Styela clava: one gene and its partner. The protein of the gene in region 2 interacts with the protein of the main gene of each other region in a biochemical or structural test. Links are inferred from orthologs where the notes say so. Each region holds a gene or a part of one and is shown on either strand. Other genes may lie near its edges.

Region 1 (10,660 bases), on a different chromosome or scaffold from region 2:
TTCCATGGGACATCCTTCAGCTGTTGCACTTCAAATTGTTGTCCCCTGTTTTATATTTTGGCATATTTTATCATAAAAAAAATCCATATTACCATTATTGCCTAAATATCCACCAAACACGTAGGCTATTTAGTTTTTAGGAAGATTCTGTTGCGTGTAATTAACCGAAACAATAGCTAAACAACATTTTTAACGGGAACGTAACAATTGAAATGCCGCTCGGAGGCTATTTCAAGCATGGTCGTGAACATTGTCCCGTTTTCGTAATGTCGGGCGTCATGGATCAAATTCTCATATGTTTTCAGAATTTAGATTTGAATGAAGCTGTCATTTTGTCTAATCACAGAAAGTGTGTCCGAGTGGTCGCTAAGCTTCAGTTTGCATCTTGCTGAAATGATAGGGAAGTAAACAAGTAAGTCGACACTCGGAAAGACATATGTTCATATTGCTATGGATCTTTACCCGACCTTTGACCCCATAAAATTCTTCTTATACTTTATCATTGCGAAATTTTCAGAGCTTATTTTAAGAGCGGTTTCGCGAGTTGGCGCCTGTAAAATAGGGTATCAAACCAAAAATAGGTGTTTTAAACCATCATTATGATTCATCGCATACAACAATTAAAAAAAAATATACCGGTAAAGAATTTTAGCCCAGTCTATCACAGCTATTTGTATGTATGTTTAGTCTATTTGCCTCAAAAATGTAACAGTATCTGCATAATAGTTTAACGGTATAAAAGAGACGGGATACCGGTACATGTTCAAGACCTTACTGGACTAAGACAAAGTTATACGAATGATGCCCTGGAATTGTATTTGTGCTCTCACGCATATCTTTAACTGCTCCTTACAATCTGGTAAATACATAGACCAGTTCAAATTATCCAAAGTTATTCCATTGTTCAAAAAAGGAAATGCAAAGGATGTAAAAAACTACCGACCGATCAGCTTACTTCCTGCATTTTTCAAAATTCTAGAAAAAATTATGTACAAGAGACTCAACCATTTCCTGGACCAAAAAAATTTCTTTTATTCCCAGCAATTTGGCTTTCGCCAAAATCACTCAACATCTCTACTTGTCAGTAAAATTTTAGGATTTGAAAAGAATGAGTATACTCTTAGCATGTTCTTGGACCTTTCAAAGGCATTTGATAGTATTGACCATGACATATTACTAGCCAAATTGTATCATATTGGTGTTAGAGATCAGAGTTATAATTGGTTCAAGGCTACTTATCAGGAAGGAAACAAGTAGTAATATGCAATGACTTAGCATCTAGCACATACTGTAATTTGACTGTAGGCACTTTACAAGGTTCTATTTTGGCTCCATTATGTTTTTCAATCATTATTAACGACTTTCCAAATTCTCTTCATCACTCTGATATCATACTTTTTGCTGATGACTCAACGCCATATCTTCGAGGCAAAGACTTGCCTGAACTTTTGATCAAAGCAAATACTGACTTGGAAAATATTCAAGCTTGGTTGTCTGCGAACAAACTCTAATTATCTCTCTAGCTATTAATTTGGAAAAAACTAAATATATGGTATTTAGCGCACCAAAGCAAAAGTGTCCAACACCGCAACAAAATCTGGAATTGAATGGAATAACGAGCTATTTGGGTGTAATAATTGATGATAAATTGTGTTGGGAACAGCACACAAACTTGAATCTATCTAAAACAAGGTCATCTCTAGGTGCTATTACGAAAATAGCCAACAATTTAAATACATCCTGTTTGATATCCCTATACCACTCTTTAATAGAAAGCCATATTCGATATTGCACTTCGACTTATGTTCATCGCCAAACGTTCATTATCAGAAAAATTCAAATTTTAAGTTTTTCATAGAGGAAATCGAGAAAAAGTTGATGACTTATTTAAAGAGTATGGGCTGCTACGTGTTGAGGATTCAGCTAAATTTGAACTATGCAGCATGATGTTCTCTAGCTACAACGGGCGACTTCCATCCAGTCTGAACAGATTGTTCCGAACAAACCCAAATTCAAATGGCAGAAATAAAAAAAAAATTTTCATTCCATTTGTTGCTAAAAGTATCTCACAAGAATCTATTGCAGTATGTGGACCAAAAGCTTGGAATTCCCTACCTAATGGCTTAAAAAAATCAAAATCAAACTCAGAATTTCGTTCCAAACTTATGCAACATTTGTTATCATCATATTAACCAAAATCTTTGTTTTGAACATATTACTGTTTCGGAGTTTATTTTTTTTAGGGAATTCGGTTACTAAGATGGGCTACTAGAGACTATTTGGATTGAAAGCACCAACAGGAAACTCCGAAGGATATCAAATCACCACTCAGTAGATGGCGACTTCAAACACCGCATGCTACCTCAGCAGGGTGCAATATGAAACAACGGACTGAATTAATATTTTAACTCACCCTTCTAATCTTATTATCATGCTTAATTAGACAAAGACAATAAAAACAGCAAATTAGGTTACAGATAGTAAATTACAATTACATCGTTTGCTAACACCGGTTGTGCTTCATTTACTATCAACATGAGTTTACCTGGTGGCAATCATGCACTAGTAAATTACAATTACATCAAATTTGAATTCAGCCATCAATAGAAACAGTTCTCTTTGTCAAAGTAGCACGCTGGGTCCTTTCTTTTTCATACAGGTCATTGCACAAAATCAAATATATATTCCTCCCTTCCCTCACCCCATGAAACTATATTAGGTACTCTATTGTGATCCTAATATAATTAGGGCAATCCATGACATGGAAACAATGCTTCTCTTTATAAAATATTAGCCTTAATTAAATAGTACTTTTATACATTTATTTTCTTCTGGAAAAAATACAATCATGACAGGTTTTGTGCAAATGCATTTCATTAAGTTTAATTTTCCTTTAATTCTTACCACATTCAGCTTGAATTTTATAAATAAAACAGGAATTTGACACACGAACTGAAGTATTTCACCAAAATCTGTATGGTTCACATTTTTGCTGAAACAGATATATTCCATCAAAGACTCTACTAGTACCCTTGAGTGACGCATATCATATAGGCACAAGAACCGCAAATTTATTTCTTATACTTCGCCCATTCATACTATATGGTCTCACCACTCAAAGGCGCTGTATTTGCGCCTAATTTTGATTTCATTGTTATGTATATGTTTATTTGGTGTTGTGTTGTCTCTATTTTTATATATTGTCTTGTCTTATAAACTCCCCTGTATAAACAGTTTTGTATACTCCACCCTTACCACTTTCACCACACCAAACGACCCATTGCCCCACCTTGCACAACTGTCTATATAAGGGACCATATTATACATATTTAATCTAATGTTTTTTGTTTTATATTTGTCAGAAAGGGTGCATGCCGCACATTTGTGTTTTAGGCCAGTACGGTCTTGTGCATGCATCCCGTCTTAAATATTAATAATTGTTCATTTATTTATTTATCACTATTACGAGACGAATAAACATACATACACACATACAAGACACAGATGTGCGATATGCACCTCAACAAGTATAACTGCAGTTTAGGACTGCTGCGTTATAGTAGGACAACAGACATGCAATATACAAATAAAACTCTTGTACAATAACAATACACAGTACAAAGAGGTGCCCAATGTTTGTCACCATAAGGGACAGTTCTGTCTTTACGGCCCACCTGGCGTGGTTACGGCAGCAAAATTTTACCTGCCATAGGTTTTCAATTTGCTGCCGCTGTAACGGCAGCTCGTCATTGGTTTGTGGCAGCTAAAAAGTCAGTCGCCATAGGTTTGCACGTAGCGGCCATGGTATGGAAATACCGCCATGGTTTTGCGGCAGCTGCGGACGCCACAGAATACTTGAAACTGCACTTGGAGGTTTGGGTTGCCTTAACTTACATACAGACAGATACCGGTACCGGTATAGCAAGAGCTGATATGATAGCCTACATGTCTGGGGTCTAGTATAGTTTAGTACCCCAAGTAGGTACCGTACTTCCTGTGGATGTGGCATAACAAATTTTGGATCTCCTGAAGTACACGCCGCACGTACTTCTAGTTGGCCTGGCTCAACAATATTTGCATATGTCATTCCTAACCCCCACCTGACTACGGTACGTCATGCGAAAACTACCGGTACATCACTGCAAATTCGCAGAGACGTAATACAGCCCTCCAAAGTTACGGATGGTCGCGCAGACAATCATCCGGAATCGAGCAAGCCACGGTATTTCTCTCGTTTTCTCCTCAATGCGATACCGATACTGCGATATGAGTCTAAGAGAGAGATCGCTGGGTCTAGTATAGTTTAGCAGTCTCGTGTAGTTTCGTACGGTACGGTACCTAACGTACGGTACTTCTAGTGGGCGTAGCATACCGTAACAATTTTCTGACATGTCAATCCTAACCCCCACCTGACTACGCCATCAAAAAATTACGTCACTGCGATGTCACAATCGCGTTATAGAGCTTGCTAAAGTATAGGGACTTCTCATGTTTTAAACTTGTTTATAGGTTTTGCGGGTCTCGTGTAGTTTCGTACCTAACATAGGATAGGTACTTCTAGTGAGTGTATCGCAATAATTTTTTGACATATCAATTCTAACCCCCACTTGACTATGCCATCCAAAAATTACGTCACAATCATGTCATAGAGCTCGTCAAATATACATACGATCGCCCGAAATGGCATCGGCGCCGACGATAAAGAACTGACTAATGTCAGCGATCTCTCTCATATTGGGATCGTTGCGACGAGAAAACGAGAGAAATAGTTATTCGATTTCGGATGCTCGTCTTGGACAACCGTTCGTATAGTTTGGAGGGCTCTATTACCGTACGTCACTGTGACGTTGTAGTGACGTAATTTTTGGATGGCGTAGTCAGGTGAGGGTTAGGATTGATATTTCAAAAAATTGTTATGCTACGCCCACTAGAAGTGGATTAGGTACGAAACTACATGAGACCCGGTTTTGCTTGCCCTCCAGAATTCTCCATTTTTAATTTATGTTTGTTATGGAGTTTTCGAAATAAACTATCTATCTATCTAGCTACAATAGTCCGAAATGGCATCTGTGCCGACTATACTGAACTCACTAACGTCAGCGATCTGGGTCTGGTATAGTTTAGTACCACATGCACTTCTAGTTGGCCTGGCTCAACAATTTTTGCATATGTCAATCCTAACCCCCACCTGACTACGTCACCGAAAAATTACAACATTTCGTCGTCACAGTGGCGTAATGAGGCCAAAACGTGCAGACGGTCACCCGAAATCGAGCAAGCTATTTCTCTCGTTTTCTCGTCACAACGATCACGATCAGAGAGAGATCGTCGGCGTTAGCGACTCGTTATCGGCGGCGCAGATGCCATTTCGGGCGATCGTAATTATACTTTTGCAATCCTATGACGTGATGGTGACGTCGTAGTGACATCATTTTTGGATGGCATAGTCAGGTTGGGGTTAGGAATGACATATGCAAAATTCGTTATGCTACGCCCACTGGAAGTACTACTTGTGGTACTAAACCTTACTAGACCCCATTTTTTGTTATCTAGCTAGCCGATCTGCCAATGCCATCAGCTGTCCATTTCTCTCAATTTTGTATTTTTGTTTCATACCCCAGTCAGAAATTTGGAAAATACTACCAATGGCGTTCATAAAATTTATATGCATATTAATCATCACTGTTTCGCTGATAATAACTGGTAAAGGTGAGGACACTGAAAGTGTTTTATCTATGCAAAAGCATATTGGTGGTGCAGAAAAACTTGTTACTTTGAAAAGGATTATTCGTGATGTTGAGACTGGGTCTGGTGAAACTGCGACCGACGAAGAACAAAATATATTGAGGAAACACACTGATGTGGTATGATAAAATTTTTTTGAAAAATCACTATTCTCTGAATTCAATCTGTTCAAAATATTCATCTAAAAAATTAGTTGTGTTAGACCAAAACAGCCCAGTTACGCACCCATACCCAGACGAGGAAGCAACCCATTAATTCCCTCTTCTTTCCAAGATAAACCTTACTTTGTTGTAATTACCAATTACCTACAGTAGTCATCTCTTAATTAACTAGAAAATTTAGTATGCAGCTACATTAGTACATGGAAATAATTTTTCCTAAATATTGAAAGAGTTTAATATAAAGTAATGTCTAGGCGTCCAACCTTTGCAATTCAATATCTATTATCGATATGTTATCATTTCAGCATGTGTTCAGCAATGACAGCAACCCATCAATATCTCTAATATGGACTGGTACAGAAGGTGCCTTAATTGCTTTAACAACAATGGGAAATGGGATAACCTTAATTCCATCAAGGCTTTACAGAAGTTCTAACTTTGGAAGGTAGATATGATTTTTTGCAAGAAGTGTTGTGTTCATTCAATGCACTAATAGCGGTCAAATACAAAATATGCTGGCACTAATGACTTAGAGCAGTGGTTGCATTCCCCAGACGTCAAACTAATTTTTGTGAACTCTCTTACTTTTAATGCATAAAGCAGGAATTGCTCAAATTTATTATTATGAACATAAGAATGTATGTCATGACAATGGCTATTGTACGCTGTTTGTTTTGTAGTAATTAGAACAAGCGAAAACACATGTCAGTTGTATCAACGTTTATCTTGTTGGTTTACTTGCTGAATGTGCCTATCGTTAATTGTCAGTTTAGTTTATTCTAATTATTAAAATTTGGCATTAAATATAAATGTCGGAAAGTTGGCGACGGGGGTCGAACATTTTAAAGTGGTCGGTCGGAAGATATTTATTCGTTGAGCGTTCGTTATATGTGATTTTAAAAACCTATTGCGAATATTTCAGTTATACTTTAATAATGACATGTAAATATTTGTATATAATATTATGTATTATGAATGCTATACACTCATTTCCTGTAATATTTTGTCTGATACACTGTTGAAGGGATTACCATTTTAGACAGGAAGCTTGACAACATATTGCTCGTAGATTGCACTCATGTGTCTTCATTTGATAATTCATAAGACACCCACACCTCTATAATACCTATGATACCATACATACAATATTCAAATATGAATATTTTCTTTGAGCAAGCTTAATTTCAACAAATATGAAGATGTAGTAAAGCAGTAAACTGTATTTCATTTTTAAGTTCGATGAAATTTTTTTTTATTGCAAATCTATACAAGAATGCATTCAATTTCAGGAAAAATCCATCTAATCTGGGGCTTATCACTGCTGTACTTTCTTATGGTATTATTGTAGAATATAATTCATAGTTTTTTACCTGGACTTCTTGTCTTTGTAGATGTATGTCAGTATGAAATAAAAAGTGTATGCCAGATATTTCATACTGGTTTACAATGTAAAATGAGTATTAACTTTGTTTAGTTCCAACTTTTGATCACCCTTGAGCCCTGGCATTTAATTTGGGGAGTTTGATTTTCTTTAATTCTAATTTATTTTTGTTCAGTTCAATTATTCGCACAAACAAAAATCATAATTTCGCATTATATGGAAGCCAATTTTCTCACTAGAATGTCGAAAGTCAAGACTGAGTGACAATCAATACTATTTGTTTTCTAGATCTTTTGTGGACATATCAGACAAGATCGAGCATGATAGAATTCTGAACAATCATGGAATGCTTGTCAGTCCAGTTGATTCCAACAATGTGAGTGTGTATTTTGTTTTTGAATTGCAGACATATATATGTATGGAATCTTGCTTACAATTTTAAAACCTAATGGATAAATGCTGGTATACAATTATTAGAAATGATATTATCTCAATTACGATCTACTAGTTTTTAATTTTTCTGGAACTAAATTGCTTCCAAATAGTAAATTGTTACGTACGTTATCATCATTAACTTATTTTGAGAATGGAAGATTTTGTTATGATTGATGAGCCTTTCTGTGTGGATAACATTTTGGTTAACATCCTGATGTCACATGTTAGTGGTCTCGGTTTTTCTTGGGAGCGAATCCAGCCCCATTGGCTTCTTTTAATCTTTCATATTGATGACTACATGGACAAAGCATTATTTGTAGTAAATTTGTCAAGTGCTACATAAAATAATAAATAACTCCCGTAGTATGTGTACCAGGTTAGAGTTAGGGCATAATTTTATTCAGATTTTCCTTATTTTAGTTTTATTACGAATTCGGGGACTTTCAATAGCAAGAAAAATTGTTTTTTCCAGGTGATGTTGGTCACTGATCAGAGTTTTTCCTTATTTGCTCGTGGGATGGATTACAGGAGCGTTGTGTATATTACTACAGATAATGGTCAAAGTTTTTCGAAGAGTAAACTCAAGTTTATAATTGATCCTAGTTCTGTCTATTTCAACAAATATGATACTTTGAAGTAAGTAAGACTGAAACTTGTTAGGTTGTTTCACTTGTTTTTTGATAAATTTTAATATTATCCCAGGAGAGTGGAAAGATAATATGGCTGAAGTGTGAAATTTCGCCTATCAAAATTCGGAATATTTAGAAATAAACCCATAAGAAAAAAAATTATAGTGGGATAAAAATGTCGTTTAGAGCTGAATATCGAGCGAGTTTTCAATCTTTATAATACTTTGTATAGTTCTAAAAAATTTTTTTTTAAACAGAATAAATTTTGCAAATGCTACCAAATATATTCAAATACCAAAATTACGGCTTCGTATAAGGTATAAGTATATATTGCAGATAGGTTTTGGTTTTTATTGAATTCTAAAAACTTTCACTGACTAAAAGCATTTTTTTATATAATAAAAAATTTATTGCACGAAATTCCATTGTTGAATGGTTTGATCGTATATGTTGTAAAGGTAAAAACATTTGTTAGCTGCTACATCATGTGACCATTACTATGCACAATTATTCCAGTCATATTTACATGAATGTGAAATGAATCATGTGATATTTATGAACTGCTACTCAAGATTGTAAAAATTGACATTCCTTTCATACATGGTTTGTCTGGTATTATACCAGATTCATTATATGAGCTGGTTAAATTTTAATAATTTGCCACCTTTAATACAATAAGGATTCGGGAATACAAATTCTTTCATATTCAATACCAAAACTGGTAATCTAATTCCGGGGTCATTTTAGAGGTGACATAATGTCAGAAGACATATTTCTGACTCATTGTTCCACTTTGTCAGCTGCTTTGTGGAATGTACTGATACAACATGATTTGCATGTTAGATGGCTGTTTTGCTATCTAAAATAACATATTCAATGAGATAAATCCGAAATATTTGAAAATCTATGTTATTGTATGATACAATTATCATTAAATTGCATTTGGACTTTATTCTGTTAATAAAATGTATGATATTGGAAATTTAAAGATCTTGAATTCAATGTTTTGTGGTTCTCTTTATGTAGCAAAATTTTTAATTTCAAGTTGAAAAAATATTAGGGGGGAATTTTTAACGTTGAAATTTTCAGTAATTATTTGAATTTGTTTGTTCTGATACCTGTTTATTATTATTAAAGCTTATCGTGATCATTTTTTTAGAATCTTGGCAATTTCATCTGACAACCATGGCTTGTGGATTTCTTATGATTTTGGTTTGGTATGGCGACATATATCTGATCATGTGATTCAAGTAAGATGGGATCCTACAGATAAAGACACATTTTATTATGCAAAAGATCCAACTGGGAGCATGATTTGTAAGTTATAATTTTATATCATACAACTTCACTTTCCAATGGTAATCTTCCTAATGCGTAGGCTTTCATGATGTATATTTAAGTAAAAATCTTTTTGGAAATAGGTGTTATTGACATTTATCGATCATTTACGATCTAGTTCATTCCTCCTTATCTTAAGTTTTTTTAGTCCAGGCTATTTCATGTACATTTTTAGCATTATGTAAAGGATATGATTTCCATATTCACTCCGGGGGAGAGGGAAAATTCTAAGCGACTTAATAATCATAACTGCAGCCAGTTGTCTGTTTACCGGTCCTTATTGGGCATGGGGTTAGTTGACCAGTTATTCTGTTCTGATAGATAGGCACGGTGGTGGAGAAAGCCATAACCACCAGTTATCACGTGAACCCTCTGATGGCTTGGAGTCCAGCAATCCTCTCACACATGAGCTATTTATTTTCCACATGATTCAACCCTACCCGCGTAAGGTGGCAAGTATATTCTTTACTTTAGCATGAGAATCTAAGTTCTTTTTCATTTATATATTGTCACTTTAAAACTACTATTTTCATTTTATCATCAGCTGGTGCCTTCAATAATGAATTGTATCGCGGTAAAGCATCGTATATAGAATCAACAAAAATTGCGGAACATATTTATAGCTTTGGTGTTCAAGGTGGATTCATCTTTATATCAGTGGAATTTCTTTCTGTGAGTGTGCATGTTAATAATGTTGGATTAAAATTAATATTTTTGGAATCTAAGTAGTTTATAGAATGTTTGGTACTCCCATAGTATATGTACCAGGTTAGGGTTAGGCCATAATTTTATTCCAAATTTCCTTATTTTAGTTCTATTATGGTTATAACAGACCCGCGGGGGTTCTCGAACCCCAGTTTTGTGAATCTTGCTCTAAGATACACCGTTCTTTTAATTTATTCAAAAGAAAATTAAACAAATGTACTTTATTTATTCATATCATTAATTCATATCCTTGCGGACACCCTGTG
Region 2 (11,104 bases):
TTTACCGTGAGATTCACTGTTTCGGTGGTGAGCGCGTACTTTTGTACGTTTTTAACCTTTAACCTTTAAGTTATCATCTCCTTCTCGGTCACTCTGTTGCATTGTGTTCGTTACTGTTATGTTGTTTTTAAGTCAGAGCGAAGAGAATAAATTTGATTGATTGATTAAAACGTATCGTTGGCGGTATGTCGAATCATGATATATCATTAGATCAGTCTTAATTTTTAATTAGAACAACTTACCTATTTCTTTTTTTAGAAACTTTATTTTCAACGATGAAGACTTGCATAAACATTTACAGGGAAATCCTCGGAACATCAAACGTCTGTTTAATGTCATCTCTCTCACAGCTAGAATCATGAACTGTTTTCATAAAAAGGTAAGTGACAGCGTTTGAGCAGCATTGGATGATATTATGATTTTTCACGAGGGAATTTTCTGTTTCGCGTTCTTGTCCGTTAGCAGTAAAATGCTACCTCAGATCAAAAAACGGCGTTCCAGAAGTATGTGTACCCATATGGAGGTAATTAATTTGTTTCGCCTACTTTACATCAAATTGTGTAAGGGGACTGAAGCCTATGGGCAGGGGGTATATTCACTTTGTCACACAGACAGTCCCCGAACTCGTAATAAACTAAAATAAGGAAAATCAGAATAAAATTTTGGCCTAACCTTAACCTGGTGCACACACTATGGGAGTATCCGGAAATCTGATAAAATGCCAAATATTTCTGTGCTGGTAATTTTTATTGAATATGTAATTTCTTGTATTTTTTATAACAGGAAAAGCGTACAAGATTTATTCATTCACATATCAACGATAACACTCATAATGGACCTTTTCTTGATGACAACCGACTCGGTAAATCTGAAATTTTATTTGTGATTTAGACTAGACGCAGAAGCTGAAATTCTGAGCAATATTTACTATTGGTGTGGTATAGTCTGTTTTATTGATTGCAGATGGTTTGACGGTTTATTAGTGGATCACCCATGGGAAACGTAATAAAAAAATATCCTACTCGAAGTTATTTTTAAAACTTATTTATTATACTATATATAATTTGAGAGTTTTTTGTTTCAATCTAGTTCGCACTCAACAAGGTGCGGAGGACTTAGTTCGTTGGATTGTACTTGCTGACCAATGGCCGTACAGAACAAGTTATATCTTGCAAGTTATTGAAGATGCAGATCAACGAGGAAGTGCTGGAATTGAGCAAGAAAAGATACCAGATGATTGGACGATTTTTGAGATATTCCAGTAAGATCTTAGTATTTCATCAACAATTATTAATTTTGATACTATTACAAAAACATTTATGAATGGGCATTTCCATTGATATGATAAAACGTAAAGTAGTATTTGTCAGATTTCTATAATGGTTCAGGAGTATTCCAAAATTTGCATTTTTCTTCTGATTCGTTATATACTTTTGAATAAAGCTCATAGTTATTTGATATAACTGAAAAATACTTCGAATAATGGGGTAAGACAAATAATCATGATTTGTTTTTGGCTTCATACTATGGAACGAAATAGAGGAATACAGAATGTCTGTCGCTGCTCAATTTCTTCTATTTGTAAGAATGTTTTGTTTTATATTTGACTCAAATTTATTCCATTTTTTCTATTAGAAACAAAGTGCAAAATGAATACGAAAAAGGTGAATCGTTGTTAAGTCTCGATGGTGACCCGGATATATTCTACAGTTACATTCAATTGCTCGGGGATTGCGGCTTCACAAAATCAAGGATCCAACGTCTTGAAAGATACACTGTCAATTTGGATTATAGCTTACGACATACAATAGCATTCTATCGAGACTTGTCTTGCATGAACCCAAATGAAAGTAAAACGCCTGTTCAACCAGACGATGACAACGAAAAAGAAAATAAAAATGCAGCGACTAAAAATGCAACTAAGGTTGTTGTAGAAGCGAGGCCGGAAGACCCTCAAGTAGCTGAAACGAGTTTTCTGCGACTGGACAAACAAAGCGATGATCGTAGACTTTCCTTGCCTGCAATGTTAGAACATTGCTAAAATAATATTGCATTTATTTTTTACTAATTTTGAATATATTTTTAAGATTTATCTTCCCTATTGCATTTTAGATTGTTAGATTTTAGTTTATTTTTTTCGGTTTTCAAATAACTCCGTCCAATGTTCCAATTCTTCAGTATCAAACAATTTAGCTTTCAAGAATAACGTGCAAATTATCGTGACTCCTGCCGTGACCAAGAGAGACAGGCTGTTCATAGAAAGTTAGTTTTCTGAAAATACAGATTCGTCATGAAAGAAACCGAAATTAAAAAGAATTGACTTTCCGATCGTGTTTTATGATATATACGTGTTTCATGATTTCAAATCTTTGGACCCTGGGTCGCTGATCATCTTCGACTCGACTCCTATCAAGTGTTAGAATGCAAAGACGAGTCAATTCACTGTTATGGCGAGTCGCAAGTCAAGCTTTTTTAAATCACTAGTCACAGTAGATTTCGTGAAAACAGCGAAAGGGATATTCAGTCACATTTACATCAAGAATTGAAAAGTTTCATCTCGTGTTAAACCGAAGATATTTTGAGTATCAAAACAGAAGTTGAATTACCAACCGTGCAACCATTTACCTCAGATAAGCACAGCAACAAACTATTGAAATTTTGATTTTTGTCCACATTAATCGATTTCCTTTTGCTTGTTTCAAAAACTCGCGGAAATATTTAAAAAGAAAGTCTTTCTAGTTGTTAGTGCGAGTCCGAGCTATTTCGTTTAGATCAGAGCCCAGGGGTGTGCAACATTCTCTATCGGTAGGCCGTATAAATTTAGGTTTACCATACGTCCCGCTTTAGGCGGAACAGTCCCGCTTTTTAGCGTCTTGTCCCGCCGTCCCGACAAGTCAGCCAAAAGTCCCGCTTTTGCGTTCAGCCATCCAGCATAATACTCGAACATGTTCTCGTTACTGTTGTTTCTGTGAAGCGCAGCGCTAGCCTACTTACTGAAGGCGATTGCGTTTGTTTCCTGCTGATTCCCATTGATAGCAGACGTATCGCATGTAAAACCATTACTAATTAGTCTAAATTCGAATTATTTGTACCGATATCGTTAACGTCAATTTCTTTATATTTTTCGAACTGAATCCGATATTCGTACAGAGAATATGCGCATGAAAGTTCGGTAACAATATGGTCAATAAAGACAGCCGGGACAGCTCTAAATGTAGGCGGTGGTGGGATTCAGCCGGTTCGCACCGGTTCTATAGAACCGTCTCACGGAATTTAATGAGATCAGCGGACCGGTTAGCATTGCTAAAAAACATGAAACAGAGCCGGCCGAAAAATATGAATTTTGTGATGGAACCAGCTGACAAAAAATTTGAATCCTACCACTGAATGTAGGCCTATGTAGTAAAATCGGAAAATGTGAAGTTACAAAATCTTAGCTAAGGGGTCGTTGTCTTTTGAGGCGTCCCGCTTTGAAGTCACAAAAATATGGTAACCCTACGTATAATCAACTTCAGCCAACTAGCTGGGCCATACAAAAAATAGTATTTCAATGTACATTGGCAACATACAGAGCGCCGCGGGAAAGGCAAGAAAAGAGAATGCGGCCATCGCTTAGTCATAATAAATGCACCGGGCAAAACAACGAAATATTTAACGTAGCGACTAGAGCAAAAAATCTTCAAGTATTTTTATCCATGCAAGCGGCTTTTCTTAGACATAAACTGTCGGAATAGAATTTTATGCTTAGATTGGGGGTTGTTGACAAGGGCCACACCACATGGCTTTGCGGGCCGGGTTGTTGACCACGGGCCGCCTATTGCACACCCTGGTTTGGATGAACGGAGTCTTTGTGAAAAGGTTACCACAACACTGGTTTGGCATGTACAAAGAAAACCTCCGCATATATATGTAATAAATAAATCTTTTATCGCAAAATTAAATTTCGAAAAATTTATGACGCTTCTCACCAACAGTGGCGTAAATAGGGTGTGGCAGCCACGGCTCGTGCCATGGGCGCCGTTTAAACAGGGGCGCGAAACGGCGGAAAATATCAATAATAAAACGTTTCAATGAATAATTTCAAATTGGGAACAACTGAATCTTGTATTTTTTCCTCAAATAATAACGTAGAAGTTTCCTAGTTCATTAACAATCAATATAAATTATCAAACAACTATCAAGGGAGCGCATTCTTAGACTTTGCCATCGGCGCTATTTTAAGTAGATACGCCACTGCTCACCAACATAAAAAAGCCCAGCAAGAACGTGGATTTAAATTAGTTGGAAGAATACTAGCTGTTGTAAATCCCACCGATCGGAGAAGGTAAAATATTTAGAAATTTTAGAACAGTAAACAGCCCTAATGAATTTATCTAGTTTTGAATAACTCAAAACAAAAATGTGATGTGAACGACTCAATTAGGTATTTCCGCAGAAATGTGCACATGGGTCGATTTGTTATTAATATGTTGTTTTTCTTTTCCTTGTTTGTATTTTTCTTCGTGATGTTTTGAACAAAGTTTCATTCCGGTTGGTTTAGGTAGGAACTCCACCACGTTCCGATCGTTGTTCCGTTATGGCTTTCGTGTCCATATATTTGGGCATCAATCTCTTGCTTCACAACAAATTTTTGTGTGGCTTAATTTATGCAGTTGTGGTGTCTTCTTCGCTAGCCTCTTGCACAACCAGCGAAATCCTGCTGCCCGAATAAAACATGGCATTAAAAGTGAACTACAATGAAACGCAGCACTTCGAGAGAATCACGACAAAAACATGATATCTATATACGTAAATAACAATTAAGTTTCTGAATATAAAAAATAAAACTTCGGCACAAAATTCAAACATGGTCGGCCTTGATGGTTAAAAAATTAGCATGCATGAATAGTCCAATATTCTATGCAATCGAACAAGTAAATGATGCAAAAAATTCATGAGTGTACAGTGTACTAACGAAATGCTTTTATTGTTATTAATCCGGCAATTTTGCGTCACGATTCCGATACCCATAGCGGTTACTAATATGTTAGTTGCAAGACTTGTAGGTTTAAGGATAGATCGGAGGGGTCGCGTCCAGCATAGTGCATAGATAAAGAGATGTTACATAACATAGATCTGCAGATGTTAGTGTACCGGTACGGTACCGGTACATTACTGCATTAGATGTTACCGATACATGCATTGTCTGTGCGTCCAGGGTACCGGTACCGTAATTACGATTTTCCGCTACAACAACTCGCGTCTGACAGTTCAGTGGAAGCGAAAATAGATTGAAAAAATATAGTCGATACCGGTACTCTGGTACTGGTAAAGTTAGTCCAGTGTAGTCTGGACTGTGAAGGTACCGTACCGGTACGGTGCTGTAAAGGGATTTGGATACGGTGAACCGTTTACTCATAAAAGTGTAAAACAACAGGGCAACTCGTTTACATCGCAAATAATGGGGTCTCCCTAAAACCAGGCACTTGCGATTTCAGGTACTTTGATATTTTTTTTATTTCTACCGTATGTCAGTAGGTATGTTATTGGGGTTTCCAATTTATTTGACCTAATAATTAGACTCTAAATAAATTTTTGCATCCTTATACAGTATCGAAGCAAGCTTGGAAAAGTCTTTTCATGTTTCATATTAATGTATTATTGATAATAGAACGCTGAATTTCTGGCATTACTGCCTTACAGCAATAAATGCTCAGAAATCTGAGAAATGTCTCATTTTCAAGCTCTCTGTATATCAAGCTCTTTAGTTTGAATATTTTTTATTGTACCAATCAGCCAATACTCGTAGGCTATTATTGTTTATTAGTTGACAAAACAATAAATCGCTACCAGATGAGCAGACTTTGCTTAACAGCATACGGATGAATAACAGAATAACACTACCATACTGCACTAGGGCTTATTTTTCAGAAATATGAAAACCGATATCCATTTACTTATAAATAACACACTTTTCTGTTTTTATTCAAAATACTGAAATAACTGCTGAGAACATGGATTATCAATCATTTAAAATGCGTAGGAGATTTGTTAAGTTCATATTTTTTCTTGTTATCTCAGTAATAAAATATAGTCTACATTCCTTTTATTACGGTATTATCTTGCAAAATAAAAAACGATTTGATTGATTGATTGAACTTGGAACTTAAAAATGCATAGAAGTATATGCATCATCTTTTGCGCACAATTTATCCTGTCAATTGCAGCTGGTGGAAGTAGAGATGGCAATGAAATACCAAATTCTGATGATAATATTCGAAAGTTTCGAAGTGGAAGAGTTAATCAAGTCTGGGAAAAAGCAGAAAAGGTTGGTTTGATTGTTTCTTACAGTTCTGCACCATCAAATTCAACTTCATTATGATTCTATCTCAGTCTCTGCAGTACGGCACACTTTACAGATCGAGCGACATTGTCTTGTTTCAGAGAATCCCATTTTCCCAATCCTTTCAGGACATCTGGACATTGTTGTCCCTCAATAACAGTGAAAATACAGTAACATGAAGTTAAACAATGGACTAAAAAGAAGCGCAATCTAAAAACGTCATCATTGAATTCCTCAGGAAAAAATAATGTGTTTGTTTTATTGAACCAAATGACAGGACATTCTTGAAATTGGAAACTGTGCCCAACTGCCCCATGGTAGTAATCATTGAAGCTTCACTGATCAGAATAATTCAATTTTAACATAAAAGTGTAAATGCTGCAATATCTCACTAATAGTTTGTGTTTTGTGATACTGATTTATTTTTTATCAATAGATGAAGCTTCCAGCACTGAAGATGACAGATTTGTACGCTGATTTGAAACACCATGATCGACTATTGATGGAACACAAACGAAATAAAGTTAATCAAGGTGAAGATGACGGTCTCAAAGAAGCAGAGCTCACTGATGCCCTCCATGGTGGGTTACATCTAACTAACTGTAAAGAGCTAATTTATCAAGGATTTTATATCACTTATTCAGTCATGCTTTGTATCATCTTGGAACATGGAATTATATTTTTGTTATGGTTTTGTATTTATATTTCACCAATGTTACAAACTTAAACTGAGATTATTTTGCATGAATGGCAAAATCAAATTATGGTGCGTGCTATTTAAAATATGTTCAAAATTACTGCCTGTTTTGACTATGAAATATAAATATACTACGGTATTTATTATGTCATGGTCATACAAATTCACTAAGATTAATAATCTTTGCAGTGCAAAACAATGCGATAAACTTTTTTTATTATTGTTGACCTTTACCAGAAGTTGAATACTTGAAAACCAAATGTGCCACATGATAATTGAACTAGGTAAATCATGTTTTTGACACAAAACATAGTTTGAATTGTTCTTCAAAACAGCAATTACGACTGTATCTAGTTATAAATTTTGCTTTCGGTGTGTGTCCTTGTCCCCGACTTGCATTTCATTCCTATCTATGTTAATTTTTAGAGATCATGCTGAAATATGGTCTGGCTGGAAAAAAGAGAATAAAACCACAACAGAAGCGGGAAAAAAAGTCTACAGATACCAGGTTTCTAGAGGTAATTGAAATAATTTTTGACTGGTCTTCCTAGTAAGAGCAATACTCCAATATGAGGCCATGAATCTCAGCTGTTTGAGTACTTTCTTTGAAGATCAGTGGGTAAGCATGATTGAATAAAGTGATTCGATAATACATAACAAAGTCTGTACTCCCGAAGTATGTGAACCAAGATGGCGGACACTGGAACGTAGTATGTGTACCAGGTTAGGGTTAGGCCATAATTTTATTCCAATTTTCCTTATTTTAGTTCTATTACGAGTTCGGGGACTAGCCAAATGACTCCCGTAGTATTGGTACCTGAAGTTAGAGCCTAACTCTGACCTGGTACATATACTACGTTGCGGTTTTCGCCATCTTGATTCACATACTTCGGGAGCACCAAAAAGTCTTTTGAGGAATTCAAATGAAACTCGAAATTTTGGATGAAATATCCGGTCATACAGGATGCAGAGAAAGTTTGAAAAAAACATAAGAGTAACAGCTTATTAGTGGCTCAAAGCATTTAAAACTGAATGGTCCATTGCATGCGGAGAAAAGCCATATTTACCCAACAAGAACAATAACCCCAGCAGCAAAAACAATTTTACAAAACATTACATAAGTCAACATTGTCTTGAACAAGAAAACAAAATAGCAGTAAAGCTATTCCAGTCAGTATGTTTCAATAATTTATTCTGGTAGTGGCACACTCAGGATGACACTAGTTCTGAAGACATGGGAAAAATACGCCCCGTGTGCCAAATCCGGCCCGCCTGATGCTGTCGAAAATTTCTTCTTTAAACTAATTCTACATGCACTACATTGTAAATCTGGTTTGCCAATCGCCACAACCAAATGAGAACCAAATTTTGATGTTTTAGCTAGAAAATAGCTCAAGGAATTTGTTGATTAGCGATTAATTTCAGTTTTGGCACGAGGCTTATTGTTGCCACTTTCACTTTTGAAACACTGTTCATAAACGGAACTTTTTATGTCACGCCAGTTTGGATGGGCAAAATTTTTGACCAAAACCTTGTTGGTCCAAAAACCTTGTCTTCACTAGTTCCTAAAATCTTTATATTCGTCAGGATCCCAAGTTGGATAAACTGTGGCAAACAGCAAACAAACATGGGAAGTTTACAGATGATGAACTAAAAAGTCTTCACATGGAGTTCATTCACCACAGAAAGAAAGTAGAAGAATACGAATTGTTAAAATCAGAAACTTCACAAACTGATGGTAAGCACGATTGACATCGAAGGAAATAAACCAGATATGAGGCCAGTGGCGCAACCAGCGGGGGGGTTACGGGGGTCGTGTCCCCCCCGTTTGAATTTCGTTTTTTTTTTATTATTGTTCTACGTTAAAACAACGTCGTTCCACAGTCATAACAATCCGGTGAAAACTTTTTTCCAGTGCTTTATCACCTCGACGTAATTTAACACCGCCCGACTTCAATCATACCTTTTTGCTGATAGTTACGTAATAATCGCTAACCCCGCGTATATGTTTGTATTCGAAAATGAGATATGTTATCTCAAAAAAGTAGAAATCGCGCGCTTTCGATGCGAATTGAAAGCGACAATAGCATAATGCTATCTCTCTCTCTCTTGTGACGAATACTCTCGTGCTTCATCATCTTGACGCAATGTAACGCCGCCCGTCTTCATGTTATAATAATGCAGTAGAAACTCTGAAAATCTGGATACGAAAATTATTTTCGGAAAAATATTGCTTCGAATAACCTAAGATTTTCTACATATGAAAGGCCGAAAACGCCGTAAACATCCTACCGCCCCCGTCCACGTTCTGATTTAAAAACATTCCACAATTATTTCATTTTTTATCGCAATCGAAAGCAGCCATGTGTGGCACGGCAATAACTAACAGTCGTCGTGAAAGGTTTTCAATAAACTCTGACTTGAAGTGCTTATAAGACGTCGAGGACGTTTTTGGTTGAAAATTTTTTACATTTGTTATCGTATATTTCAATTTAGTCAAGATATGTTGTGCGTCTCGGCAATAAACTTTAAAGCAAATCCTGTCCTAATTAATTGTTTTCATCCTCAGTTTCGATAGTTATCGAACTTAACGGGAAATTTTTTAATTTCTTGCAATCTATAAAATAGCTTCTAAATATTATTTGGTTTCTATCGGAGATTTTATCGTTATCCCGAGTCCTGACGTCGTTGATAACAATATCGTTCATTTTAAGTTGGAGGTATTGGTTTATAATCAAAAAATTATAACACATAACATGAAAAATGTAAATCAACGCCGACTCAAAAAGTAAAACACGTTTTTCCATCTTCATTCTCCATTATTGGCGGACGGAAATTTGGGAATCGGGTTTAACTAATTTGATTATGATGACGATGGTAAACAAAAGTACACAAACATACCATACCGTTCTTAGTTTTTAGTCGTTATTTCTCTGTCCTTTCTTCTTTCTATGTGCATATTAAGACCATAAAACGTGTTTTATTATTGAATTCTGCGCTGATTTGAATATTTCATGTCGGCTGTTATGTATTTTTGTTTGTAAATGAACACCGCTAACTTTAACTGAACTGATGTTGTTATCAATGCCGGATGCCGACGAAATCCGCGATAGATATTAAATACTATTTAAGAGCTATTTTATACGCGCTAAATTGGAAGAAATGAAAAAATTTCCTGTTATGTTCGGTCACTATCGAAACTGAGGATGAAAACAACTAATTAAGACACAATTTGCCGAGGTCGCCTAAACTAAGTTAAAATACCCGATAAGAAAATATTTTCAATCAAAAACAACCTCGAAGTCTTATAAGTTCTTCAAGTCGGCGTTTATCGAAATTCTTTCATGTCAGCTGTAATATATTGCCGAACCACACATGGACGACGACGCCTAGGATATGTGCGCCATATTTGGGATTATTATAAACACGAAAAAACAGTATTTGAAGTTTGCGATATTTGAATTTAAATTCGATTTGGACATCCCTGCATTAAATTAGTCAGTTTTTAGTTGTGTTTCCAAAAATTAGTTGTAAATCAATTATTTTAATTGTCATTATGTCTTCCGGTGAGCTTCAGTTTAGTTTAGAATTTTTCCGGGGTTAGGGTCGGGAAAAGGTCCATTCGCAAGAAGTGCATTTTGTTTTTAGTCTTGACGAATTCACCCAACGAGCAAGGCGCGGCACGAGGGAAACACTGGAATTTATTCAAGCCGTGTTTCACTATCCACGAGGCGCAAAGCGAGGAAAACGTTGAAAATAATTAACAGCTTTTCGTTAGCAATTCGCTGGAATGTAATGAACGGCGTTTTGCTACCCACGAGGTGCAAGACATAGCGAAGCGCCGTTAAGAACGAGTGCGAGGTAAGCGAAAGGCTGGGATTTAATCGACGGCGTTTTGCTACCCACGAGGTGCAAGACATAGCGAAGCGCCGTTAATGAACGAGTGCAAGGTAAGCGAAAGGCTGGGATTTAATCGATGGCGTTTCCCTTTTAACCATGAGCAATTTATCGTGGTCAGCGGGGCGACACCTAGTGGCGTTGCGACTTACGTCGTGGTTGCACTGTGTAAATTCCGGTCGGACCCC

Evidence for each region. The genes of interacting proteins can lie anywhere in the genome.
Region 1: the proteins of alpha-2-macroglobulin receptor-associated protein-like (region 2) and sortilin-like form a complex in vitro, tested with the Homo sapiens proteins (4 studies listed by BioGRID and IntAct, with this or other methods). The link is inferred for Styela clava from reciprocal best matches to the Homo sapiens genes LRPAP1 and SORT1.

The regions. Positions count from the first base shown.
Region 1 is NC_135257.1:16,369,830-16,380,489, reverse strand, and holds the start of sortilin-like, read left to right. Parts: upstream 1-5,595; 5' UTR 5,596-5,645; coding exon 5,646-5,864; intron 5,865-6,211; coding exon 6,212-6,351; intron 6,352-7,575; coding exon 7,576-7,663; intron 7,664-8,194; coding exon 8,195-8,358; intron 8,359-9,510; coding exon 9,511-9,668; intron 9,669-10,233; coding exon 10,234-10,361; intron 10,362-10,660.
Region 2 is NC_135251.1:11,782,338-11,793,441, forward strand, and holds the start of alpha-2-macroglobulin receptor-associated protein-like, read left to right. Parts: upstream 1-6,042; 5' UTR 6,043-6,151; coding exon 6,152-6,307; intron 6,308-6,758; coding exon 6,759-6,903; intron 6,904-7,445; coding exon 7,446-7,537; intron 7,538-8,606; coding exon 8,607-8,757; intron 8,758-11,104. Other genes in the region: uncharacterized protein LOC120336713, read left to right, coding at 259-379, 784-862, 1,090-1,261, 1,636-2,041. UniProt on the Homo sapiens protein: Molecular chaperone for LDL receptor-related proteins that may regulate their ligand binding activity along the secretory pathway.